7 linked regions of the Callithrix jacchus genome follow. Each later gene encodes a partner of the first gene's protein in a complex. Links are inferred from orthologs where the notes say so. Each region holds a gene or a part of one and is shown in the gene's direction. Other genes may lie near its edges.

What was found.
Region 2: SF3B2 (region 1) and SNRPF share a complex: the UniProt entries of both Homo sapiens proteins name them as parts of the minor spliceosome. The link is inferred for Callithrix jacchus from reciprocal best matches to the Homo sapiens genes SF3B2 and SNRPF.
Region 3: SF3B2 (region 1) and ARMC7 share a complex: the UniProt entries of both Homo sapiens proteins name them as parts of the minor spliceosome. The link is inferred for Callithrix jacchus from reciprocal best matches to the Homo sapiens genes SF3B2 and ARMC7.
Region 4: SF3B2 (region 1) and SF3B4 share a complex: the UniProt entries of both Homo sapiens proteins name them as parts of the SF3B subcomplex of the 17S U2 SnRNP complex. The link is inferred for Callithrix jacchus from reciprocal best matches to the Homo sapiens genes SF3B2 and SF3B4.
Region 5: SF3B2 (region 1) and SNW1 share a complex: the UniProt entries of both Homo sapiens proteins name them as parts of the minor spliceosome. The link is inferred for Callithrix jacchus from reciprocal best matches to the Homo sapiens genes SF3B2 and SNW1.
Region 6: SF3B2 (region 1) and HTATSF1 share a complex: the UniProt entries of both Homo sapiens proteins name them as parts of the 17S U2 SnRNP complex. The link is inferred for Callithrix jacchus from reciprocal best matches to the Homo sapiens genes SF3B2 and HTATSF1.
Region 7: SF3B2 (region 1) and SF3A2 share a complex: the UniProt entries of both Homo sapiens proteins name them as parts of the 17S U2 SnRNP complex. The link is inferred for Callithrix jacchus from reciprocal best matches to the Homo sapiens genes SF3B2 and SF3A2.

The regions. Positions count from the first base shown.
Region 1 is NC_133511.1:123,126,769-123,131,026, forward strand, and holds the start of SF3B2 (splicing factor 3B subunit 2), read left to right. Parts: upstream 1-1,458; 5' UTR 1,459-1,488; coding exon 1,489-1,624; intron 1,625-1,779; coding exon 1,780-1,826; intron 1,827-2,114; coding exon 2,115-2,192; intron 2,193-2,231; exon of another isoform or gene 2,232-2,325; intron 2,326-4,120; coding exon 4,121-4,258. UniProt on the Homo sapiens protein: Component of the 17S U2 SnRNP complex of the spliceosome, a large ribonucleoprotein complex that removes introns from transcribed pre-mRNAs.
Region 2 is NC_133510.1:98,945,661-98,947,905, forward strand, and holds the end of SNRPF (small nuclear ribonucleoprotein F), read left to right. Parts: intron 1-917; coding exon 918-982; intron 983-1,578; coding exon 1,579-1,645; 3' UTR 1,646-1,745; downstream 1,746-2,245. UniProt on the Homo sapiens protein: Plays a role in pre-mRNA splicing as a core component of the spliceosomal U1, U2, U4 and U5 small nuclear ribonucleoproteins (snRNPs), the building blocks of the spliceosome.
Region 3 is NC_133506.1:131,033,034-131,037,288, forward strand, and holds the start of ARMC7 (armadillo repeat-containing protein 7), read left to right. Parts: upstream 1-1,455; 5' UTR 1,456-1,865; coding exon 1,866-1,956; intron 1,957-2,040; coding exon 2,041-2,184; intron 2,185-4,255. UniProt on the Homo sapiens protein: As a component of the minor spliceosome, involved in the splicing of U12-type introns in pre-mRNAs.
Region 4 is NC_133519.1:9,859,729-9,863,938, reverse strand, and holds the start of SF3B4 (splicing factor 3B subunit 4), read left to right. Parts: upstream 1-1,410; 5' UTR 1,411-1,454; coding exon 1,455-1,488; intron 1,489-1,920; coding exon 1,921-2,049; intron 2,050-2,289; coding exon 2,290-2,832; intron 2,833-3,163; coding exon 3,164-3,370; intron 3,371-4,210. UniProt on the Homo sapiens protein: Component of the 17S U2 SnRNP complex of the spliceosome, a large ribonucleoprotein complex that removes introns from transcribed pre-mRNAs.
Region 5 is NC_133509.1:112,714,242-112,718,173, reverse strand, and holds the start of SNW1 (SNW domain-containing protein 1), read left to right. Parts: upstream 1-1,132; 5' UTR 1,133-1,161; coding exon 1,162-1,175; intron 1,176-3,932. UniProt on the Homo sapiens protein: Involved in pre-mRNA splicing as component of the spliceosome. As a component of the minor spliceosome, involved in the splicing of U12-type introns in pre-mRNAs.
Region 6 is NC_133524.1:133,298,977-133,302,476, forward strand, and holds part of HTATSF1 (17S U2 SnRNP complex component HTATSF1), read left to right. Parts: coding exon 1-19; intron 20-454; coding exon 455-609; intron 610-2,552; coding exon 2,553-2,716; intron 2,717-3,500. UniProt on the Homo sapiens protein: Component of the 17S U2 SnRNP complex of the spliceosome, a large ribonucleoprotein complex that removes introns from transcribed pre-mRNAs.
Region 7 is NC_133523.1:2,124,478-2,127,977, forward strand, and holds part of SF3A2 (splicing factor 3A subunit 2), read left to right. Parts: intron 1-457; exon of another isoform or gene 458-595; intron 596-1,717; 5' UTR 1,718-1,754; coding exon 1,755-1,880; intron 1,881-2,877; coding exon 2,878-2,949; intron 2,950-3,309; coding exon 3,310-3,356; intron 3,357-3,500. UniProt on the Homo sapiens protein: Component of the 17S U2 SnRNP complex of the spliceosome, a large ribonucleoprotein complex that removes introns from transcribed pre-mRNAs.

The DNA.
Region 1 (4,258 bases):
GCTAGAGGAAAGATCTGAAGGGTATGTGCAGTGGCGAAATGAGACCATTCCACTTGAGTCTCCCCCTCCCTTACTGAACACACAGTGAGCCTGGTCAGTGAGAGTGCAGAGCTAGTGGCAGAGGTGGGGAGAGAAACTGAATTGATGGTGTGGGACTGGGAGAGGTGGATGCTAGGCAGGCAAGGAACCCTGCCAGTCTCTGCCAATATCCCTAAAGGCCAGGGGGAATTGGGGTGGGGAGCGGGAGGCAAGGTGGCCCCCAGTGCGTGCGGCTGAGGGAAAAGGGCCTGAGTTTATTTATTTTTTTTATTTTTATTTATTTTTTTTTCTTTTTGAGACAGAGTTTCGCTCTTGTTACCCAGGCTGGAGTGCAATGGCGCGATCTCGGCTCACCGCAACCTCCGCCTCCTGGGTTCAAGCAGTTCTCCTGCCTCAGCCTCCTGAGTAGCTGGGATTACAGGCACGCGCCACCATGCCCAGCTAATTTTTTGTGTTTTTAGTAAAGACGGGGTTTCACCATGTTGACCAGGATGGTCTCGATATCTTGACCTCGTGATCCACCCGCCTCGGCCTCCCAACTGAGTTTATTTTTGAGACTAAAAAAGACAAATGCTGTCACCAGAACAATTACTCCTTTTTTCTAGTAATCATTTATTGGGCACCTCTTGAACGCCAGGCAGTGCGAGACTGAAAAAGATCAAGTACCTGCTCATACTTTTGAGTTGGAGGTAGGAAGAAAGGGCAAGAAAGAACGGTGGAGATTCGAATGTATTATGGGAGCTCTAAGAAAGGAAAGGAAAGCAGGAGAAAGCTTAGTGGAGGAGACGACATTTGAGCCGGCCTGGACGGTGGAAAAGGGGGTTTTAGTGTTGCCCTTCCCCCAGGTCGGCAGCTGGAGCTCAGCCCGGGCGGTCCCGCTCCTCTCCCGGCTCGGATCCCCTTTCAGCCCATTCATCCGGGCCTGGGCCGGGGGTGGGCGGGCAAACAATCAGACACTGTTTTATCCCAGGCATCGGCTCCAGCCTCCCGCTGGGCGCCCGCAACGCGGGGCCGCCGGGGAAATGAGTCTCTCGGGACTCCCTGGGAGCGTAAGCATCAGGGCCTCTGACCGGGGAGCCGGGCCGGAAGGCTTGAAAGCCTGCGCTCCCGCAGGTGAGGCGCAGAAAACACTCCCTCGGGGAAGGGCCAGCCTTCTCCGCAGCCCCGCCCACGGGCCCGCCGCCGGCCTTCGGGCAGTAGCGAGGCGCAAGGCCCGTAGAGACCGAGACCTGTGCACTACAACTCCCAGGAGGCCTCGCGACTAGGCCGCCGAGGGGTCGTTGGTGAAAGGGGCGTCTGCGGCGAATCCGGTGGCCCAGGGAACGGCAGGGGGCGCACAGCCTCCCAACCAGAGAGGACGTGGCGCACGGCGCTGCCGGAAGTTCCGGAAAGTGGGCCCGGCGGCTGGCCCGAGTTTCCGGGTTGGTCGTGCGCCTTCCTGCGGCTAAGATGGCGACCGAGCACCCGGAGCCTCCCAAAGCGGAATTGCAGCTGCCGCCGCCGCCGCCACCTCCAGGCCACTATGGCGCCTGGGCTGCCCAGGAGCTTCAGGCCAAGTTGGCAGAGATCGGAGCTCCGATCCAGGGTGAGGAACGCAGGAAGTCAAGGGGCCTTTACTGGCCTGCGGAGAAGCGGAGCCTGGTTACCCGGGAAACCCGGGCGCGAGGGGCGGAGGCGGGCCGCTGGGGCCTGACCTGGCCGGGCTGGCCTGCCTTATTGATTGTGTACTTTGCCTCGCAGGTAGTCGCGAGGAGCTGGTGGAGCGGCTGCAGACCTACACCCGCCAGGTGGGTGTTGGCGGCAAGACGTCAGGCCGAGTGTCTCCAGGAGACCTATACTCCTCACGGCTCGGTCTTTCTTTATCTCGGCACAGCAAGGCGGAGGCTTGCTCTCTTTGCCTTCTTGCCTTTGCTAGCTTAGTTGTAATCTCTTGTATTTATCTTGGTCCTCTTCAGTGCCCAGCCGGAGCGCTCGCAGACAGGCGCTAGGTGCATTTTGTTGAATGAATTGGGCGAAAATGTCGTTTAGTGAAATATCTAATTTTGCACCGACCTAGAGTCCTTTCTCTTTTGCAGACTGGCATCGTGCTGAATCGGCCCGTTTTGAGAGGGGAAGATGGGGACAAAGCCGCTCCACCTCCCATGTCAGCACAGGTAGGGAGGTTCTTCCATTTTTAAGTATTCTATCTGCTGATTTTTTTGTAGTTCATGAGTGTAATGATTGGGTGTTCACGCGCATGTGTGAGATGTGACACTCTTGCACATTAATTACTAGCCTAACCTGAGGAGGGGAAAAGAAAAAAAGATTCCATCTGTTCAGGGAAGCCTTTCCTTTCACCTGCAGTATACTTGGGATGCAACTAACAGTTTGGGCAGGGAGGTACTGCCGTGGCAGAATTGTGAGCTCTTCAGTTCTCTCTTTGATGCTGACGCCTCCTTCCCACTGTCTGCTTCTCCAAATTCTACCTGTCATTCAAGATTGAGCTTGTGGCCGGGTGCAGTGGCACATGCCTGTAATCCCACCACTTTGGGATGCCTAGATGGGAGAATCACTTGAGGCCAGGAGTTCAAGACCAGCCTGGGCAACGTAGTACGACTCTGATACTACAAAAAAGTTTAAAAAATTATCGGCACAGCAGCACGCACCTATAGAGTCCCAGCTACTGGGAAAGCTGAGACTTAAGGATTGCTCGAGCCCTGGAGTTCGAGGCTGCAGTGAGCTATGGTTGCACCACTGTACTGCATGTACTCCATCCTGGGTGACAGAATGAGACTTTGTTTCTTAAACAGAAAAAAAAAAAAAAAGGAGAGGGTGGGGCAGGGGCTGGGAGAGTGTCAGGAAAAACAGCTAATGCATGCCAGACTTAATGCCTAGGCAATGGGTTGATAGGTGCAGCAAGCCACCCTGGTGCATATTTACTTATGTAGCAAACCTGCACATCTTGCACATGTACACCAGAACTTAAAATTAAATTAAAAAATTGGAAAAAAAAATTCCAGCACTTAGAGAGGCCAAGGCTTATGGATCACCTGAGATTGGGAGTTCGAAACCAGCCTGGCCAACATGGTGAAACCTCGTCTCTACTAAAAATACAAAACATAGTTGGATGTGGTGGCACATGTCTGTAATCCCAGCTACTTGGGAGGCTGAGGCAGGAGAATTGTTGTGGAGGTTGCAGTGAGCCGAGATCTAGCCACTGCACTCCAGCCCAGGTGATAGAGTGAGACTCTGTCTCAAAAGAAAGGCAGGGCTCGGTGACTCAACCAAGCACTTTGGGAGGCTGAGGTGGATGGATCACTTGAGGTCAGGAGTTCAAGACCAGCCTGGCCAACATGGTAAAACCCCCATCTCCATTAAAAATACAAAAATTAGCCAGGTCTGGTGGCAGTGCCTATAATCCCAGATATTTGGGAGGCTGAAACATGAGAATTGCTTGAACCTGGAAAACAGAGGTTGCAGTGAGCCGAGATTGCGCCACTGCACTCCCACCTGGGCAACAGAGCAAGACTCTGTCTCAAAAAAAAAAAAAAAGCTTGAATGCAAGGAAGCCTAACTTGTCCCTACCCAGCTGGAAGCAATCACCGTCTTCTTTGCCTGCCTTGGGCACAGTTCCCATGTTCTTTTGTGAGACATCTAGGGCTCCCTGATTTGATTTCATACTCCTTGCGTTTAGTAGTCATTGGGGTTTGTATTGCCTTGGCACAGTGGTTCCTGTTTATTTAAGTCGTCTCAATTTCCATGTTCCTTCTGATCTAGGATTTGCCTCTTTTTCTCTAAAATAGTGGCTCTGACCTGAGATCTGTTGATCTCTGTGTGTAGGATGAGGAGTCCCTAGATGACCTCAGAGGTGTCCTCGAGTCTCCTGGAATTGTATGCAGAATCTCTGTTCAGGATAGCTTCCTTTGGTTGATGCCAAAGGAAGTTAACATTGTCATATCTTCATAGTGCTGTGGAGCATTCTTTCTTAGGAACTGTGTATCATTTAACTTAGAATCCCAGCTCCTGACTCAAAGTAGATTCCCCCAAATGTTTGCATAATGAATAAATGCTTCCTAGTTTCATGATCATATTTTCTCCATAGCTCCCTGGAATTCCTATGCCACCACCACCTATGGGACTCCCCCCTCTACAGCCTCCTCCGCCACCCCCACCACCTCCACCAGGCCTTGGCCTTGGCTTTCCTATGGCCCACCCACCAAATTTGGGGCCCCCGCCTCCT
Region 2 (2,245 bases), on another chromosome or scaffold:
AACTAAACATTTTGATATAAAATTAGAAATAATAAGAGTTCAACAAAATAACTGTAAATGTGAAACTTAACTATTTAACTTTCTATTAAGAACTTCTTTTTCCCTGTTTATTAGTACAAAATTTTAAAAAAATTATTATTCATTGGCCAGATGTGGTGGCTCATACCTATAATCCCAGTACTTTGGGAGGCCAAGGCGGGAGGATCACTTGAGGGCAGAAGTTCAAGACCAGCTTGGGCAATATAGCAAAATTGTTTTGAAGTAGCCAGGCTTGGTGGCACATGCTTTCTATCATAGCTACTCAGGAGGTTGACGTGGGAGGAGCCTAGGAGTTCGAGGTTTTGGTCAGCTATGATTGTGCTACTGCACTCCAGCCTGGGCAACAGAGTGAGACCCTGTTTCTTAAAAGGCAAGAAAAGAAGAAAATTCTTACTTAATTACCTGCTTTGGATGTTGCCTAATATGAAAGTATTTGGCATGTTAGCCATAGCTTTTGTAACCCATTTGGACACCTCAGTATGATTTATAATGTTGACTCTGAGAAAACAACATTTGGTGCTTTAGAATGAATTTTCAGAAAACTTTTTAATCACAATTTATTCATAAATTAGAGACTGCTTCCACACAGTTTTGATATCTGAAATATTACGTAACCTGGGAGATTCAGAAACTTATGTTGAAACAAGCTTTATTATATATTTGTTCTACATCCATGAATGTTAATTTTACTGAAGGTTTATATGAAACCAAAAGTCCTACAGTAGTAATAGAAAGCTCATCTTCTGTTTATTAATTATAGATAGATTTGAGTTGTTGGTGTAGAAAGGTATCAGTTAATAAGTTCTCTCACAGTATTAGCTGTATTGTAATATTTTCCTCCTGTGTGATTATACTAATATATTTCTTTTTATTGAAAGCTTGCAAATACAGAAGAATACATAGATGGAGCATTGTCTGGACATCTGGGTGAAGTTTTAATAAGGTAAAAAACAGCAGTGGTATATGTAAGGAGTTACTGGTGAGCATTAGGAATACCTGTTTTAAATATATTAGAGCCTCAATTTTGGAGTTACTTATTTTTAAAAAATCACTATTAACTTATAATACTTTACAATTGGACTTCAGAAGTCTTTGAAATTGCTAAACTTGTCAAAGATAAGTTTTAAAATGCTTTAGAACTGGCCAAAAGATTTTTCTAGTGTTGATGTTAAATTTTCTGGCTCTTAGCTATATAACCTTTTTCAGTGGCCTTCATTGGAGGCACTTAGTTTTGAATTTTAGTTGGGTCTGGCTGTTTGTAAGAATTTTTGTACTAGCTTCAAAGCTCCAAATTCTGATAATTATTTCCCTTGGAAAATTATAAAGATATCATTTTATAACAACCATATGGTTGAAAATCAGTGCCATGTGCTTTTCAACTTATCTATGTAAAACGTTTTTTAAAAACAAATATATATTTTTTGAAAGACAGGAATATTATAAATATAGCATTCAGTATTTTCATAATAAAAAATATAGTAATTCAGATCATACATGGATTCTGGTTGAAACAACAAAATGGACTTTTTCTATTTACAGGTGTAATAATGTCCTTTATATCAGAGGTGTGGAAGAAGAGGAAGAAGATGGGGAAATGAGAGAATAGCATATTTTGTGGGGGATTTTTTTTTTTTCCTGACCCCAGCCCCTGGGATTTTTTTTTATATATATATATTTCTAGACAATAAAGATTTGTTTGTTCTTGACTTGTGAACTATTTGTATTCAGATATTTACCAGCAAAGCCCAAATGCTGAACCAATTGGGAAAGATTACTCACAAAACTAATGCTTTAAAAGTCACTGAATTTTATTTAAGTTGCTTTTTTTTATAAGCTTGATACTCTTTTTTTTTTCTATAAAGGATAGTTATTTATATGCTTTAGATATTTTTATGAAGGTGAATTTCAGACCTTTTCTTGTAAAATTATATCTTAGCTGAGACCTTTTAAATGCAACTTTTAAAGTTATTTTTGAGCCACTTTTAACATGTATAAAATTAAACATGTTTTTGGTATTAATGTACTGTCTTATTTTACTTAGTAAAATTACATGTTACTTCTGTGTCAGTATAAGCTAAATGCACATATTGTAGCTAAAATTGAAACATCTAAAAATTAAAATGATTGTGCAGACAAGGCACAACGGAAATTGGGAACCGACATTTAGGCTGAAGGCATATGGTTTGTTTACTAAGGAGAAAAAAGT
Region 3 (4,255 bases), on another chromosome or scaffold:
CAGGCAGTTGCTGGGCAGATGGCCGTGCAGAAGTGGTTTTGTGCAAGTTTGTGATGGCCTTTGTGCAACGTGGTGGTTTTTGCAGTCTTTGTGATAGTTTTATCAGATATTTATGCATGAGAACTCTCTCGTCCTGGATTTCTTGAACTCTGTCGGGATTTTGTTGGTTTTTTTCTTTTGTTTTGTTTTTTTGAGACGGGAGTTTGGCTCTTGTTACCCAGGCTGGAATGCAATGGCGCGATCTTGGCTCACCGCAACCTCCGCCTCCTGGGTTCAGGCAATTCTCCTGCCTCAGCCTCCTGAGTAGCTGGGATTACAGGCACGAGCCACCATGCCCAGCTAATTTTTTGTATTTTTAGTAGAGACGGGGTTTCACCATGTTGACCAGGATGGTCTCGATTTCTTGACTTCGTGATCCACCCGCCTCGGCCTCCCAAAGTGCAGGAATTACAGGCGTGAGCCACTGCTCCCGGCCTTGTTTGTTTTTTAACGCAAGTGACTCCACTTTTGTACTCTCAGGACATGCACAGCCTAAGCCACCTATACCACATTGTCAAACACGATCGGAGAGTGGCAAGGCCACCTCCTTCCCTGGTGCTTTGTTCCCTGTGACCACGAGTTAATGCAGCACACACCTGCTTCCTGAGAATCCCCGACAGGGAACCGGCCGAAGGGCTTCAGCATCCAGAAAGCCCTGAAAGGGCCACATCCAAGGCTCCTCCTCCGGCTCCCCGGTGCTTCCCCGGGCGCGCGCCGTCCACCCGACTGACGAAAAGCCCCAGGACATAAGCCAGTCCCCTTGATTTCTGTCCAGAGGTGGCGGACCCACCTCGGGCTGGGATGGAGGGCGTATCGGGGTCGCCAGGCTTTTTGCAAAAGGGGCAAAGGACCGATGGGGGGCACAGAGAGCTGACGCCCGCGCTCCGAAGGGCCGTCCGGGTCAAGGAGGCTGGGCCACGCCCCCGCCAGCCGTGGGGGTCCTGGAGGTGCTTCTCCCTCGACGTCCTGCCACATGGGTTCTGGCAGACTCCGCTGCTCCTCGCGGAAATCCAGCCGCCTGACGTGGGCGTCTTACCTTCTGGGCCACGTCGGGGCGGCTGAGGGCCCCGGGGAATGGGCGGGAGAGTGGGAAAGGTGGGGCGGGAAAGCCGAGCGAGGCCCTAACCCGCCCTCCTATCGGCCGGGGCAGCAAGTGGGTTTCTTTCTTGCGTTCAGATTTTGCAGTAATTTGCAGCTGGAAACGAGATAAGGGAAACCAGGCTGCTCCTCGCAGTAAACCCACCCACGCCCGCACCTGTCTCAGGGAATCCGCTAGCAGCGGGCTGCAGCCCAGGCTGAAGGGCTTCCGCATCCAGAAAAAACGTAACCGCGCGGAGTACGTGCGCCAAGGAGTTCGTCGACGGCCCCGCCCCTGTCCCGCCCTTTCCTCCTCGTGCCCGCTCCTTCCGCTATATTAAGGGCGGAGACAGCGCGGCTTCCGCTGGGAGCTCGGAACAGATCCCGGGATCCGGGATCCGGGATCCGGGATCCGGGACCCGGGATCCGGGATCCGGCACCCGGCACCCGGCACACGGCGCTGGTGCCCCCTCTGCAAGCCCCAACTCGTAGACTGTTCCTCGTCGCCCGCGCCCCAATTTCGATTTTCAAACCCAACTCCCACAGGATTCTGAGACCACGCCCCATCTCCCACGTCCCATTTTCAGCGGCAAATTACTGTAGAATCTGAACTCTAGAAAGAAACCCGTTTGCCGCCCCCCATCTTCCCTCTCCACACAGGTGGAGGGCAGGTGAAGGTCTCGCTCGGCTTTCCCCTGCACCTTTCCCACCCTCCCGTCCGTCCCTGGGGGTCCTCTGCCACACCGGCCATGGCCCAGAAGCCGAAGGTGGACCCTCACGTCGGGCGGCTGGGATTCCTGCAGGCGCTGGTCACGGAATTCCAGGAGACCCAGAGCCAAGGTGAGAGCCACGGTGGGGCCAGGGGGGCAGGGTCTGCTGTGACCGCCGCTCGGACCTGGCTCCAGTGCCGCTTTCCCGTTGCAGACGCCAAGGAGCAAGTCCTCGCCAACCTCGCCAACTTCGCTTATGACCCCAACAACTACGAGTATCTGCGGCAGCTGCAGGTCCTGGATTTATTTCTCGATTCGCTGTCGGAGGAGAATGAGACCCTCGTGGAGTTTGCTATTGGTAAGGGCGGGGTCGGTTCCCTAAAGGTCTAATGGGCCGGGGTGAGATAGGTGAGTTAGAAGTGAGTCGTTGGGGCCGGGCGTGGTGGCTCACGCCTGTAATCCCAGCACTTTGGGAGGCTGAGGCAAACGGATCACTTGAGCTGAGGAGTTTGAGACCAGCCTGGGCAACATGGCAAAATCCCGTCTCTACTAAAAATACAGAACTTAGCCGCTCACAGTTGTGTGCACCTATAGGCCCATGGAGACTGAAGCAGGAGGATTGCGTGAGTCTGGGAGGCAGAGGCCAAAGTGAGCTGAGATTGCTCCACTGCACTCTAACCTGGACAACAGAGCGAGACCATGTCTCAAAAAAAAGATGTTTTGTTTTGTTTTGAGACAGTTTCACTTTTTTTCCTCAGGCTGGAGTGCAATGGCAAGATCTCGGCTCACTGCAACCTCCGCCTCCCAGGTTCAAGTGATTCTCCTATCTCAGCCTCCTGAGTAGCTGGGATTACAGGTGCCCACTACCATGCCTGGCTAATTTTTGTATTTTTAGAAGAGATGAGGCTTTGAACTCCTGAGCTCAGGTGATCCACCTGCCTTGGTTTCCCAAAGTGCTGGGATTACAGGCATGAGCCACCATGCCCAGCCCAAAAAAAGATGTCTTAAAAAGAGCAATTTCAGCCACTGCACAGTGGCTCACACCTATCCTAGCACTTTGGGAGGCTGAGGCTGGAGGATCACCTGAGCTCAGGAGTTCAGTAGCCTGGCCAACATGGTGAAACCCTGTCTCTACTAAAAATACAAAAATTAGCTGGGCGTAGTGGCGTATCCTGTAATCCCAGCTACTTGGGAGGCTGAAAAAGGAGAATGCCTTGAACCCTGGAGGTGGAGGTTGCAGTGAGCTGAGATCATGCCATTGCACTCCAGCCTGCCCAATGGGAGCAAGACTCCATTTCAAAAAAATAAAATAAAAAATAAAAGCAATTTTTTGACCAGGCACAGTGGCTCACACCTGTAATCCCAGCACTTTGGGAAGCTGAGGTGGACAGATCACCTGAGGTCAGGAGTTTGAGACCAGCCTGGCCAACATGATGAAACCCTATAGGTAACTAAAAATACAAAAGTTAGCTGGGCATGGTGGCGGGCACCTGTAATCCCAGCTACTTGAGAGGCTGAGGCAGGAGAATCGCTTGAACCCAGTAGGTGGAGGTTGCAGTGAGCCCAGATGGCACCACTGCTCTCCAGCCTGGGCAACTACGAGACTCCATCTGGAAAAAAAAAACGGAAACAAAACCAAAAAAATCCCCAACAATTTCAGGCAGGAGAGGTGGCTCAAACCTGTAATCTCAGCACTCTGGGAGGCTGAAGCAGGCAGATAACTTGAGTCCCTGAGTTCAAGGCCAGCCTGGGCAACATGGCAAAATCCCGTCTCTGCTATTAAAAAAAATTACAAAAATTAGCCTGTCGGCCGGTTGTGGTGGCTCACACTTGTAATCACAGCACTTTGGGAGGCTGAGGCGGGCAGATCACGAGGTCGGAAGTTTGAGACCAGCCTGGCCAACACTGTGAAACCCCCATCTCTACTAAAAACACAAAAATTAGCTGGACATGGCGGGGGGCACCTGTAATCTCAGCTACTCTGGAGGCTGAGACAGGAGAATCACTTGAACCCCAGAGGTAGAGGTTGCAGTGAGCCAAGATCACACCATTGCACTCCAGCTCCAGCCTGGGCAACAAAAGTGAAACTCTGTCTCAAAGAAAAAAAATTAACCTGGCATGGTGTCACAGCTACTCAGGAGGCAGAGGTGGGAGGACTGCTTGAGCCTGGGAGCTTGAGGCTGCAGTGAGCTAGGATTGGGTCACTGCACTCTAGCCTGGGTGACAGAACAAGATCCTGTCTCAAAAATAAAAGTAACTCATATTTAGTGTTTTCATATCAAGAGAAGTAGAGATGGCAATCTGTAACTTATAGCTTCTGTAGTTGTGATCTTAAGACCTACTGAGTGATTCACTGGGCAATATTTATTGGGCACGTACTGTATAAGCAAGCTACTGTTCTAAATGCTGGGGTATGGTGAACAAGTTAG
Region 4 (4,210 bases), on another chromosome or scaffold:
TAAGCCAATTCCATCCCTTCTGGATAACCAGATGTTAATTGTGAGATTAGAGATGCTGTTCATTAGTCCCAACAACACGGCCCCGCCTTGCTGCTGCTTTAATTCCAACTTCTGTTTCTTTCCTTACAGTTTTCTGAGAATGAGGTGGATACAGGAAACACCCTGTCTCCTCTGTGTATTTTTGTAGTGGAATTGCTATTTAAGGGGTTCATTAAAGCATGGTATTTATACACATTGTTGGCATTGTTTCTTGTGTTTGAATAAAGGATTCTCCTAGGTAGCAAAGAGTGGTGGGTAAAAGGTGGGTGTGACCCAAGAGAGGAAGGCATCCACCATATTATTGATAAGGAAACAGAGGAACTGGGTCTAGTGAGGCGCTGCAGAATTAAAGTGCAGTTTGGGGAAAGGGTTAGATGGGGCACGAGCATGTCAGGATGTTGTCGCTACCGGGCGCGGTGGCTCACGCCTGTAATCCCAGCACTTTGGGAGGCCGAGGCAGGGGGATCGTGAGATCAAGAGCTCGAGACTATCCTGGCCAACATGATGAAACCCTGTCTCTACTAAAAATACAAAAATTAGCTGGGTGTGGTGGCACGCGCCTGTAGTCCCAGCTACTCGGGAGGCTGAGGCAGGAGAATTGCTTGAACCCAGGAGGCGGAGGTTGCAGCGAGCTGAGATCGTGCCACTGCACTCCAGCCTGGCGATGGAGCGAGACTGTCTCAAAAAAAAAAAAAAAAAAAAAATGTCTCTGGGGCCAGAGTGTTCTAGAAATCCATACTGAAGTCTCTGAGCCCATCCACCCATCAGCTGTGGTCAAACACCCTCGGAGCAGCCTGATTCCCACCACCCTTCCCCTCCCCATGTTATTACGACGAAGTGAGCGCAGACGTCACTCCAGCTCAGACATTCCGCAGTCTCCTCCCCTGAAGGAAAACCAATACCTCCAGCCCAAATCAGGGCTGTGAGGCCAAATCAGGGCTGTGAGGCCAAATCTGCAAGAAGGCTGCAGGCGAGATGGAAGCTTCCCTCTGCGCCTGAAAGCAGCCGAGTCCTCCGGCTGCGGGGACTCTTCAGCACGTTCTTCTCTGGGAAACAAAAGAAGAATCAGTGGCCACAAAATATAGCAAAAGTAAAGCCTTGTCCTTTCAGAGTTCGAATTTACATTTTTGGGAGCAGTGTGATTTTTTCAAGCTTAGCATTAAGAGGGTCTGAGCGTTTCCATTTCGCCCTCCTCGCTTAGACCACTAGCAACAGAACAACTGCGCGGGAGGCGAAGACTATACCGGTCGAGCCGGGTTAAAACAAGGAGGCTCCTAAGATGGCTGCGGCTGCTCCCAGGCACTTCCTCTTCTGCGGCCCCGCCCACCATACGTCAGCCTTCGCCCCGGAAGTGGAAGTCGGGCTGAGGTCAGAGAGCGGAACCGCTGCTGGGAGACGGCGGGAGCTCCTTCGCCATGGCTGCCGGGCCGATCTCCGAGCGGAACCAGGGTAACTGGAGGGGGAGAATCTGGAATGCGCTCAGCATGGCGAGGAGGTCCCGACTAGGGTCAGCAGTGCCTCTGCAGGGGTGGGAAGCTGAACTCCTCGGTTCCCCAGAGGGCGCGAAACCGGCCCCATGCCTGCTGGGGGCGGGGTGGCTGGGTGCTGGCTTAGGCCTGTTGGTGTGATACTTTTATGTCCAATCCCCTGCTGCCTTCCCACTCAAAAAAATCCACCCAGAATACTAAATTAGCCTTGAGAGGATTTCCTAAGTCTTGGGAAGAAAGAGGTTTAAGGGTTAAACGTATTTTTTTTTTTTTTTTTGCTCCTACCCTGCCCCGGTCCCCAGTTCCTCTGGTTGGGTTCCATCTTCATGTTTCCATCACCTCCTTTCCTGTTATACTCTCACCGTTGCCCTGACTTTCTGCTCCCTCCCTTCAGATGCCACTGTGTACGTCGGGGGCCTGGATGAGAAGGTTAGTGAACCGCTGCTGTGGGAACTGTTTCTCCAGGCTGGACCGGTAGTCAACACCCACATGCCAAAGGATAGAGTCACTGGCCAGCACCAAGGTGAGTACATGGCAAGGGGCAAATTGCTCCTGGAGGGTCCCAGCAGTATTCACAACTGTTTTGGAATGAGATGAGCAACCTAAAGATTTCTTTGTTTTAAGCCTCAGTTCAGTTTATTTCTGGAGCCATTCTCAAATAAAGTGAGGTTGTTTCTCATTCTTTGTGATCAGAGGGGAGGTGAGTTTTACCCCATTTTGAATCTCTTCACTTAGGTTGTTAACCTCCTCTCCACTTCTGCAGGCTATGGCTTTGTGGAATTCTTGAGTGAGGAAGATGCAGACTATGCCATTAAGATCATGAACATGATCAAACTCTATGGGAAGCCAATACGGGTGAACAAGGCATCAGCTCACAACAAAAACCTGGATGTAGGGGCCAACATTTTCATTGGCAACCTGGACCCTGAGATTGATGAGAAGTTGCTTTATGATACTTTCAGCGCCTTTGGGGTCATCTTACAAACCCCTAAGATTATGCGGGACCCTGACACAGGCAACTCCAAAGGTTATGCCTTTATTAATTTTGCTTCATTTGATGCTTCGGATGCAGCAATTGAAGCCATGAATGGGCAGTACCTCTGTAACCGCCCTATCACTGTATCTTACGCCTTCAAGAAGGACTCCAAGGGTGAGCGCCATGGCTCAGCAGCTGAACGACTTTTGGCAGCTCAGAACCCACTCTCCCAGGCTGACCGTCCTCATCAGCTGTTTGCAGATGCGCCTCCTCCACCCTCTGCCCCCAATCCTGTGGTATCATCACTGGGGTCTGGGCTTCCTCCACCAGGTAAGGCTTTTGGTTAAAATATGTTTGTCCTTAAGGTTGGAGGAGTGCAGCAGGGGAAGAAAAAAGAGTCTGAAAGAGGGACATTGAGTCAATGAGTGATGGGAAGAGTGATGGGAAGTCAGTGAGTGATGGGAAGTGGTGGAGGAGAATGTTGTTGGGTATCTTTGGGAGGCTGAAGTTATTTGACTATTCTAACATTGCTTTTGATTTTCCAGCACTGGGAGGAGGGGCAAAGAACTCGCCGTGGCTGGAGAGGCCAAATATGGTCAGCTCTTTGAAGACATTTTCTCCCCACTACCATTAACTCTTCCTTCTTCCATTTCCTCTACAGGCATGCCTCCTCCTGGCTCCTTCCCACCCCCAGTGCCGCCTCCTGGAGCCCTCCCACCTGGGATACCTCCAGCCATGCCCCCACCACCTATGCCGCCTGGGGCTGCAGGACACGGCCCCCCGTCGGCAGGAACCCCAGGGGCAGGACATCCTGGTCATGGACACTCACATCCTCATCCATTCCCACCAGGTGGGATGCCCCATCCAGGTAGGTGTGCTTTGTTGGGAAAGGGAGGGAAGAGCTTGGTAGAGCATCTCTGTCACCACTCACCCTGCTGCCCTTTGTTCAACAGTAACAGTTTAAGAGTTTTCCTTTTCTTCAGACATTCTCTTATAAAAAAACATACAAAATACACTCTAACAGCTACCAGTCTGAAATGATTTCTTAAGTTTTTCTGATGAGCAGACTATGCTTGCTGTTTTTTGTTTCTTTACCTTTTAGTTCCATTCTCTCCTCTAACTCCACCTCAAAGTGGTGACCTAATTGCCAAATCTCAGGGACAGTTCTCCTTATCTGGTTTGACCTCTGATGTACTTGAAACGTGTCTTCCTATTTGAAATTCCTGTCTCGGCTGGGCATGGTGGCTTCTGCCTGTAATCCCTGCATTTTGGGAGGCTAAGCTGGGTGGATCACCTGAGGTCAGCAGTTTGAGACCAGTCTGGCCAACATGATGAAACCCCATCTGTACTAAAATACAAAAGATTAGGTGGGCATGGTAACTTGCTCCTGTAATCCCAGCTACTCGGGAGGCTGAGGCAGGAGAATCCCTTGAACCTGGGCAGCGGAGGTTGCAGTGAACTGAGATTGTGCCACTGCACTCCAGCCTGGTCAAGAAGAGCAAAAACTCCGTCTCGAAAGAAAAAAGGAAAACAAATTCTTGGCTGGGCACGGTGGCTCATGCCTGTAATCCCAGCACTTTGGGAGGCTGAGGCGGGCAGATCACCTGAGGTTGGGAGTTCAAGGCCAGCCTGACCAACATGGAGAAACACCGTCTCTACTAAAAATACAAAAAATTAGCCAGATACGGTGGCACATGCCTGTAAGCTC
Region 5 (3,932 bases), on another chromosome or scaffold:
TCAAACTCCTGAGCTCAGGCAATCCACCGGCCTCAGCCTCCCCAAGTGCTAGGATTACTGGTGTCAGCTACCGCGCCCGACCAAGAGTTGACCCTAAAATCTGGAGATTATCCAGGTGGGCCTGATCTAATCACATGAGTCCTTTAAAAGCAGAGCATTTGGCCAGGCGTGGTGGCTCACACCTGTAATCCAAGCATTCTGGAGGCCAAGGCGGGAGGATCACCTGAGGTCGGGAGTTCAAGACCAGCCTGACCAACATGATGAAACCCCGTCTTTTTAAAAATAAATAAATAAATAAAAGCAGAGCATTTTTCTCCAACGGTGGCAGAAGACTCAGAAAGATGTGCTTCAGCTGGCCTGGAAGAAAGTAAACATCCATGTTGTGAACTACCAATAGGGCTCAAGCGGGACGGACTTGAGAGTGACCCCTAGGAGCTGAGGGGGTCCACCACTAACAGCACACAACAGAACAGGCAACTCAGTCCCACAACCGCCAGGAACTGAATTCTGGCTAAAAGAATGAGTTAGGAGATGGATTTTTCTCCAGAGCCTCCGATGAGATTTCGGCCTTGTCTTACCCTGGGCAGAGAACCCAGACACCCAGTGAATTACCAAGGATTACAAAGTATCTCCCCAGGAGAGTTATTATTATTTTTTTTTTTTGGCGGGGGGGAGGATACGGTTTAAAGAAAAGTTTTTAGTGTGAATGTTTTCAGAGAATCCAAGAACTCTCCATTAGCCAGTCTCACTATTTCCTACCCTTTTAAAAGCCCTACCACCCTTTCACTTAAAGTAGCTGTCCCCGGGAAGCTTTTCTATTTTGTACCCCTTCTAGGGGGAATGGACTGAGTAGAGAACGAAATAAAGCAGCCTAAAAGGCATCTCGCTATATCGTTGATATTTTGCCTAGGGAACGCCCTATCATGTCATAGCATATAAACTATCGAGTTATGCATTTGCTGCTAGCTGAAGAGATTATTCCTTGATAACCGTTCGGTCAGAATAGGAACAAATGGTACTCCTGTTCAGAGAACTACAAATCCCAGAAGGCCGTTCGGCCAGGGCGCCTGCGCATCGCGCGCCCCTTCCTTTTGCGCTCCTCTTCATCTGAAAAGACCCGCCCCGCGGTGCTGTCTCTCGCGGTGGAAGAAGCGGAAGAAGATGGCGCTCACCAGGTGGGTTGTTGATTGGGGTCCTCGATACGGAAGGGTCTGGGAGTACTAGTGGTTTTCATTACTCTTTCCATAGCCTCCGGGCGGTGACCTAACCGGGGGCACAGAATGACGTGGGCCAAGGCTACGGCTAGGCCCTCCTGCCGGCCGCCTTTACGACTAGGCCTAGTGGAAGCTGGGGTCTTTGAGCGGTTTCCCGGGTTTAGTTCACCCCCTCACCAAGGCCGAAAGCCGCGGCGTGGCCTCAGACGCTGAGGAATGCGTTTTTCGCGTAAGCATCTGGCGGGGAGTGGACAGCGCTCCCTCAGGTCCGCGGCTTGGGCGAACGAGATGGGATTGGGTTCGGTAGTGGCTTATTTGGGCTGAGTGAACCGCGCGGGATGCGACTGCGCCGCTTTCCGGCCGTTTGCCTGTGGTGGTCTCTTTCCTTTCGGTGTCCGTTCGGCGTCCCGAAATAAGGATTCCTGAAAAAAGGGGCCCGGAACTGAACAGAGATTTAAATGAGCCACAGTACTGGCCGCTGTCTGCGGATATGCACCACTGCACCGCACTTTAACTTTGGATCGTAGAATTTCTTCCGTAGATAGAACCACCTCAGAGTTTTGCTGTTTCCGGTTGCCTTAGTAACCGTCTGTAAAGTGCTCCTCGCCTTTAAGAAAAAGATGCTTTTCAGTGGCAGCGTCCGAGAAGTTACACAACTCCTACTAGTCCCCAACCTGGCTGCCCCATCTTAAGTGGAAAAAGTTTCCATACGAACTCAGCAGGAAAAGTCTAGTGTTCAGGAAGGTTGTAGGGGATGTAATCATTTTAGGACATCAGCTTGAGCCCTCTTAACACCCTTCATTCCCCTCACCCATAGTTTTTTCCTGGCTGATGACAGTTTGAATCCAAAAAATGCTTTAATCAAAAACTTGTTTTGGGAATTACTGTTGGTGCTTTGCTCTGTCCTGGGGTTTGTGTATACAGAAGGAAATCTGTCCTTGGCTGCAGGGAAGATGGAGTACAAGGCATACAGACATTAAAGAGTTACAGAACACAACATGCATATTTGTGTAATACTAACCTTAGTGCAAAAAGAATTAGATGGAATAAGCTATGTGGGCTAGAGAGTTTTCTTCCGCCCTCCTTTCCAACATTTTTTTTTTTTTTTGCTTTTTTTAAAAAAAATTTTATTTGTTTATTTTTTTGAGATGGGGTTTATTTTTCTCACTGTGTTGGTCAGATTGGTCTTGAACTCTTGACCTCAAGCAGTCCTCCTGTCTTGGCCTCCCAAAGTGCTAGGATTGCCCGCATGAGCCACCATGTCCGGCATCTGAAATATTTTTTAATGAAAAAATAGAAATGAGGTCTCACTACATTGGCCAGGGTGGTCTCCAACTTTTGGCCTCCAGCAATCTTCTCATCTGAGCCTCCCAAAGTGCTGGGATTGCAGGCATGCACTACCACGCCCAGCCAAGAGTTTTCTTTAGTGAATGTTACAGGCAGCAAACATTTGAGTGCCCGCCTCCCCCCTCTCCCCCCACAGGCAGGTGTGAGGCACTGTGTCATGGACTAGTAAAGTTATGAGGGGAGACTTTGTGGAAAAGGCGGAATTTGAAATGGACACAGGAAAAATTTCTAGAGATGTCACGGGGTATTTTTTATTTATTTTATTTTTGATACAGGGTCTCACTCTTGCCCAGGCTGTAGTGCAGTGGCCCAATCACAACTCATTGCAGCCTCAACCTCCCAAGGCTCAGGTGGTCCTCCTGCCTCAGTGCCCCTGAGTAGCTGGGACTATAGACCCTTGCCATGACGCCCAGCTAATTTTTCTATTTTTAGTAGAGGTGGGGTTTTGCCATGTTGCCCAGCCTGGTCTTGAACTCCTGGGCTCAAGTGATCCACCCATCTCAGCCTCCCAAAGTGTTGGCATTACTGGCGTGAGCCACCACACCTGGCCTGTCATGGGTATTGCGTGCTTAAATTTACAATGGCAGAATGCAGTCTTTAAATGACTAGTCTTGGGGACTCCAGAGCTTTCCATACCTACTATCTGGTGTTCATCAGTATTCTTTGTAATATCCTTTAAACCAGTAAACGCATTTTCCTGAGTTCTGTGAGCTGCCCTAGCAAATTAGTTGAACCCGAGGATGAGGTCAAGAGATCCTGGTGTGTAGTCAGTTGGCCAGTGGCCCAAACCTACTGTTGGCATCTGAAATAAGGGCAGTCTTGTGGACTGAGCCCTCAACCTGTGACATCTGACTCTATCTCCAGGTAGATAACATCACAGTTTAATTGAATGAGAGGATACTTAGCTGGTGTCCAGTAGAGAATTGATAGCTTCCTTGATATGTGGGGGAAAACTGTCACACATCTGGTATCAGAAGTGTTGTGTGTTGTTGATTGTTGAGTGAAATAATAGAAACTGAGTTTATTTTAATTTTAACATTCGATCTACATGGAGTTTACATTCTAATGGGACAGAAAGACTGTGAGTAAAATCAATAATGCAATTTCAGGTAATACATGCTAGGAGTAAGATAAAGATAAAGGGTTAGAGAGTGACTCAAGTTTGGGGTGAAGTGGCTATTTTGGGCAAGATGGTCAGAAAACAGCTCTAGAGAGAGGTGACTGATCAGAGACATGAGTGCTAAGATGCAAGCTGTTGAAACATTTGGGGCTGGCTACTCTAGGTGCACTGTCTTTGGGATGATCCTGCTCTGCAAGGAGCAGTCAAAAAAGAAAAGATCTGGAAATCTGGAGAATAATTTTCTAAAAAGC
Region 6 (3,500 bases), on another chromosome or scaffold:
ACAAATGTATACGTGTCTGGTATGTATAAATTTTTAACTAAGTTTAAGGTAGGAAATACTTAATTTTGAGATTTTTCACGAAGTGATTTTTAGCTTTCAGTTTCTCCAGAGTCCATTTTTTATCGAGCCATTTATATTAGTAAGGAATATATGTGTTTATTACAGAACCAAGAAATTTAGTGTGTAACTTTACATGCCAGCCTTTGGACCTGGTTAATGTAGCTTACAGCAGTGTGTCCCTTCACATTCAGTGAGGCCTTCAACAAAGCGTAGTTTTAATGTATACTTGAACACACAGAAATGTGAAATTTCTTCAGTTCTGTAAATGTAAAACTTTTCCATACATTTAGAAAAATCAACATTGCATTCACCTAAGTTATAGAGTTCTAATTGGTAGAATGTTAAGTAATTCACCTTTATAACCGATTATAAATGTTTTTTAATTAAATGACAGGTTTGCCTCCAGATATTACAGTGGATGAATTTATACAACTCATGTCCAAGTTTGGCATCATTATGAGAGATCCTCAGACAGAGGAATTTAAGGTCAAACTTTACAAAGATAACCAAGGAAATCTTAAAGGAGACGGTCTTTGCTGTTACTTGAAGGTAAGTTATATGATCAAATAAGTTTCTGTGTCTTCGTTTTTAACTCAGGAACCAGGGCTATAATGTCTATAGGTGATAACCAACACCAAGAACTATTCAAAACAGGATATGAAGAAAACCGGAATTTCGGTTAGTACCTGTGTGTATCACACTGGTAAGATTATTCACTTGTTTTAAGAAAGTATGTTATCTGGTTAAAGTATTATATAAGTATGTGAATGGAGTGCTTCTTTTGTCTTGAAAAACTCTCACTGGAAAGATGTCTTTATTGATGTGTACAGTCAATTCAGAATACATTTTAAAAATTCAAGAAGAAAAAAAAAAGCCAATGACGTTTTCCTTGTATACTGGAGTGAATTACACCAGGGTTCAGCAAACTCCAGTCCTGTTTTGGTAAATCCAGCTTTATGGAACACAGCCACACTAATTCACTTATGCATTTGTCTATGATTGCTTTTATATTTCATTGATAGAGCTGAGTGGTTGCAGCACAGACCTTGTGGCCTACAAACCCTAAAATATTTATGAACTGGCCCTTTAACAAAAGGACTTTTCTGACCCTTGAATTAGACCATACAGAGATGATAGCTTATGCTTACTGCTTTAAAATATTTTTTCGAATGCGAAAAAAGCGAGAGTGGTAATAAGAGAAATTTGCAGAACTGCATGTAGTCATAATACCATAAATTACACAAACCTTAATGCCAAAGGCAGCCATCATTTTTGGAACACCTGCCACCTTAGGAGCATGTGTTATACATTATCACAGGGTACAGAACAAATGAAGATGGCATTTATGTAAGTCAAAACCTGAAAATAATTACAGAGTAAAATCAAAATGGTAAAGCAAAGGTACAAACACCATGGGCGTGTTGTGAGTACACAGTATTCCAGTGGGATCAGAAGAGGGTAGGATTAAGCTGACAGCTTTTTGGGAAATAGGTTTTTGACTTGAATCTTAAATGTGGTGGTTTTGGGACGTGAGCATGACCATTTTAGGATGTTTGTAATATTAAAATATAAGGAGATTTGAGAGTCTTACACGTTCTTTAAGGATTATTAAAAAATCTGTGAACAGACTCTTAGGGCATTCTGTTAGATTTTTTAAATTTTTAAAGGAAAAAAATAGGGTTTTGAGACCCATAGCAATACAAGATTGTCAAAGCAGTTAATTGAGTTCCAGGAAAATGAAGCGAATTATTCCAGGACCCATATTTTATGTGAGCAGCTGAGTTTAGTTATCCATTTTTTTTTCTACAGATCCTCTGATCTTTGACTCTGTGTAGGGCTGATAAATGTCGCTTCTGTGTAAGACCCGGAATCCATACATGTATTTAATATAAAGTACAAGCCATCAGATAATTGTCTTCTACTTCTCAGTGTATTACAAACTTACATTTTAGTTGATGAACAAAAAAATTAAAGGCTGTCTATGCTGTTCCCAGTTCGTTGAGTCATCTCATCTCTTAAGTAAGAGTATTATATAGGATTTTAAAACAAATACACCTTAGAAATTAACAGGTTTGCTCCCCTCTTTCTACAGATGAGAAATTGCAGCCTTGAGAAAAGATTATACAATAATAATATAATTTGTTGAACACCTGTCATACGCTAGTCCTTGTCTTTTCCGTGCATTATTTCATTTAATTTAGTCAAGAACTTTGTGATGAAGATCTTACTATTTCCATTTTACAGATGATGGTATCGGGGCTCAGGAAGCTTGTATAATTTACCCACATTTACACGGCCGGTTAGGGACTGCTGTGTCTCGAATCCTGGTTTGGATTCTAAAGTTCTTTATCTCAAAGCGATAAAGCGATCTCATATATTAGTAATACATAAATATAAAAATTTAAATTATTGTATGTATAATTATAATTATCTAAAAAACTCCTTAAGTTTTATTTTGTTGTATAACTATATTTTATCTTACTTTTATAAAGAGAGAATCTGTGGAACTTGCATTAAAACTTTTGGATGAAGATGAAATTAGAGGCTACAAATTACATGTTGAGGTGGCAAAGTTTCAACTGAAGGGAGAATATGATGCCTCAAAGAAGAAGAAGAAGTGCAAAGACTATAAGAAGAAGCTGTCTATGCAACAAAAGTTTGTCATTTTTTTCCCTTTTGAAAGGTTCCTTGTATTCTAGAGTATATTTTTGGTAATAGCCATCTAGTTTTATTCTGTCAAATCTGCCTACACATTATATTAAAACAATTTCTTTAGATCATCAGGTACCTTTAGCAGGCTATACAATAGGATGATTTAGTAGTGGAGGGGATTTTAATTTTCCAAGGTGTTTAGTTGGTAATATAAGGGCTTAAATGAGCTAAGAGAAGCCATCTGTTTGGAAAACATTGATCAAATTAAATAATATAGTTTAGGCTTATGTACCAGAACCATTAATTTACTTTCTGTGCGGGTTGAAATCAGCTGTACCAGGAGCTAAATTTTTATATACAGGTTTGTTATAGGATTAGAAATGATAGGATTTTATAATTGTATTTACTGTGTAGTTGTATATACCATATGCATAATGTCATCAAGTTTCTATCATTCTGTTTGATATACTTTGAAATATTCCAGTTTTAAGAAATTAGCCAAACTAATACTTTTATCAGAGTAAATTCTAATGACACTTCTAACACCACCACACTTAAACTAATTTAAAATGATCATAAAAGCATTGGGTTATGTCTCATCGTTTTTCCAAGATTAGGTAAATTTGATAACATATTTTTTAAACAATATCAGTAAAATTTATGATTGTAACGGAGTGAGTAGTTTTACATATTTCAGTGCAGTTTGTTTTTTATAAAGTACCTAAAAACCAATATAATTTAAAAATAGTTTTTAGCCTCAAAATATATCTTTCTGGACTCATAAACGC
Region 7 (3,500 bases), on another chromosome or scaffold:
GTTGTCATAAACTAACTGGGTGGGAGGGTCCTGGGCCCCCACAGCTGAGGAGTGACCTCAGGTCCCACCGCAGGTCAGCAGCCCGTCCCACCGGTTACCACACTGGATCGTTGTCATAAACTAACTGGGTGGGAGGGTCCTGGGCCCCCACAGCTGAGGAGTGACCTCAGGTCCCACCGCAGGTCAGCAGCCCGTCCCACCGGTTACCACACTGGATCGTTGTCATAAACTAACTGGGTGGGAGGGTCCTGGGCCCCCACAGCTGAGGAGTGACCTCAGGTCCCACCGCAGGTCAGCAGCCCGTCCCACCGGTTACCACACTGGATCGTTGTCATAAACTAACTGGGTGGGAGGGTCCTGGGCCCCCACAGCTGAGGAGTGACCTCAGGTCCCACCGCAGGTCAGCAGCCCGTCCCACCGGTTACCACACTGGATCGTTGTCATAAACTAACTGGGTGGGAGGGTCCTGGGCCCCCACAGCTGAGGAGTGACCTCAGGTCCCACCGCAGGTCAGCAGCACAGCTGGCCTGTACCTCAGCGTGCTCCTGCACACCTGCGGCCGCTGTGGCAGATCACCGAAGACGCGGCAGTTCAGGTGACGTGGCTGCATCCGCTTCTGGATCTGGGGCTGGAAGTGCAAACAGTCCCTGAGGCTCCATCCCTTCTGTTAGCGGAACTCTTCCCGCCTTTCCCCTCGTCCTCCCTGTTCACAGCACAGCACAGCCTCTCTGTCCCCCAGCCTCCCCCTCCTCTCGGGAGGATGCTGAAAGGATCACCCGTTGTTTTAAGATCCTCAGGCCCACCTGCGCTTCCCTTTCCTGCCGTGTGAGGGTTCGCAGGGCCCAGGGGTTCGCATGTGGACGGACGTCTTTGGGGGCCATGAATGATTCACTCGGTCTCCTGAGCTCACCCAGGGCCTTTAAACCAGGGCCCGGGGCAGGTGTTGAAGGGGCAGGGAAAAGCGTCAGGAGAGGAGGGGAAGCTGCCTGGAGCTTGGGTCTGCCTGGAGCCTGAGGGTGTGGAGCAGCGGCAGAGGGCTGCGGCGGGAAGCGGGTGTTTGGGACTCAGGAGAGCCCTCCTGCGCCACAGGCAGATGTGGCTGATCTCCCGGTGTTACCCAGTGAGGACCGGAAGATCCACGTCTCCCTCTCTGCCCAGAAAATTCACAGCCGATTCCGAGAGATAGAACTCAGGTTGGGACAAGTAAGCGTAGCCAACCCTAGAGGGAGTTGAGAGGAAGGTGTGAACACTGGGGGCTCGGGCAGTCCCGATGGCTTCCTGGAGGTGGTGACTCGGTGGTGAGAATTTGGCCGCCTCTTCCCTGGTTGTGCCTTCTCTGACTCCCTGTCGCCATTTCAGGTCTCCAGGCCTTGGCACCGTGGGCTGGAGTGGCTTCCCCTCCACCCTCCTGCACGGTCAAGAGGCAGGCTCCAGCTTCCTCATGTCTGTGCCCGGCCCACAGTGGGCCCTGGCACCCTGGAAGAGAGTCAGTGCACTAGCAGGTGGCCCCTCAGGGCTGGTGAGACCCTGGCGCTGGGAGTGCAGGGTGAGGAGCAGTCTTGCTGGCCCCAACCTGACTGCCCGGCCCTGGGGTGGCAGCAGCAGCCCCGAGTTCTAGCCGTCCTTCTCAGTCTCCTCTTGGCCTCCACAGGCTGGGTGCCCCAGGAGGTCCCAGCAGCAGCCCCGCCTTCTCAGCCGTCTTCACACTCCTCCACAGGTGTCTCCCAGTCTGCTGAAGCCCGGAGGCCGTCACCATGGACTTCCAGCATCGCCCTGGGGGCAAGACCGGGAGCGGGGGCGTGGCCTCCTCCTCCGAGAGCAACCGTGACCGCAGGGAGCGCCTCCGGCAGCTGGCCCTGGAGACCATCGACATCAACAAGGTGGGCGGCCGGCTGGGCAGGGCGATGCAGCCGCAGCTCCCATCCAGCCACGCCAGGCAGCAGACCCTCTGTGGCTCTGAGCCCCGGGTGGAAATGGTGGGCTCTGTGCAAAGCCTTGTTGGGCATCATCCAGTTTGTGGAAATGGGGGGAGCTGATGTCGGTCCAGTCAGATGCAGTGAAGGCTCTGGTTTTACCTTGTGCAGAGGTGGGGTGGGCCGGGTCCCCCTCAGCACTGTGGACGTCGGGGCTGCAGCACTGGGCTGGGGCCGTCCCGGGCACTGTAGGGTGCCAAGCAGCATCCCTTCCCCCACTGGCTCCGTGCCAGGAGCTCCCCCCATCGGGACAAACACAGATGTCCCCAGACACCGCCCAGGCCCCTGTGAGGGTGGATCCCAGCCGAGACCCTGCCAGCGTGCGCTTCCTTAGGTTTGGATGCCACCAGGACCCACCAGTGCCGTGTTCCCTGACATGCCCCACGGGCCTGGCCTGCAGCATAGGCTCTGTGACGTTCCTTGTCTTCCAGATGAGATCACGGTGGAGGGGTGCCAGGCCGCAGGGGGTGGAGTTAGGGTTTGAACTCCAGGGTCTGAGACGAGAAGTGTGTGCCTGCCTGCCCCAGTTCAGGGCCCGTGGATGCGCGTGGCCTTCCATGTCACCCATTGCTTTTCTCATCCCTGCGTCTGCCTTGTGCTGACCCCTGGCCTGGTGGCGTGGACAGCGGACGGCTCCTTGCATCAGAGTGACAGGCGCTGCTGTCCTGGCTCTGCCTCTCTGCCTCAGAACCACCAGGAAGGTGGTGCCAGGGCTCCCTGGGAACCCACTGCTCAAAGCCTAGGCCACAGCCCCAGGTGGCCACACGCGTGCTCACGAGGCCCCTCGCCAGATCCATCAGGGACAGCCAGGCCTCCACAGAAAGGGGGTCCCACCTCTGAGGGCCCCGACCGCAGGGCAGGCCATTATCTTCTGTCTAACGGGGTACCTGTTCTTCCCTTCCAGGACCCGTATTTCATGAAAAACCACCTGGGCTCCTATGAATGCAAGCTCTGCCTAACGCTTCACAACAACGAGGTGCGGCCCGTGCTGTCCCCTCGGCCTCGAGTCACGCGTGTTTCCTGCCCCGTGTCTGTCCCCTCAGCCTCGAGTCACGCGTGTTTCCTGCCCCGTGTCTGTCCCCTCGGCCTCGAGTCACGCGTGTTTCCTGCCCCGTGTCTGTCCCCTCGGCCTCGAGTCACGCGTGTTTCCTGCCCCGTGTCTTGCCCCCTCGGCCTCGAGTCACGCGTGTTTCCTGCCCCATGTCTTGCCCCCTCGGCCTCGAGTCACGCGTGTTTCCTGCCCCGTGTCTGTCCCCTCGGCCTTGAGTCACGCGTGTTTCCTGCCCCGTGTCTGTCCCCTCGGCCTCGAGTCACATGTGTTTCCTTTCCACTCCAGGGGAGCTACCTGGCACATACCCAGGGGAAGAAGCACCAGACCAACTTGTGAGTACCTCGCCCGCGTCTCACCGGCTGCTCCAGCAGCCCGTCTCCATGAGCCCCCGGGCCACGGCTCCACAGCGTGGAAACCAGCCTGGCCTGGGCCTGAATGGGCGCTGGAGTAAGGTCTCTGGGGAGCATTAGGGAACA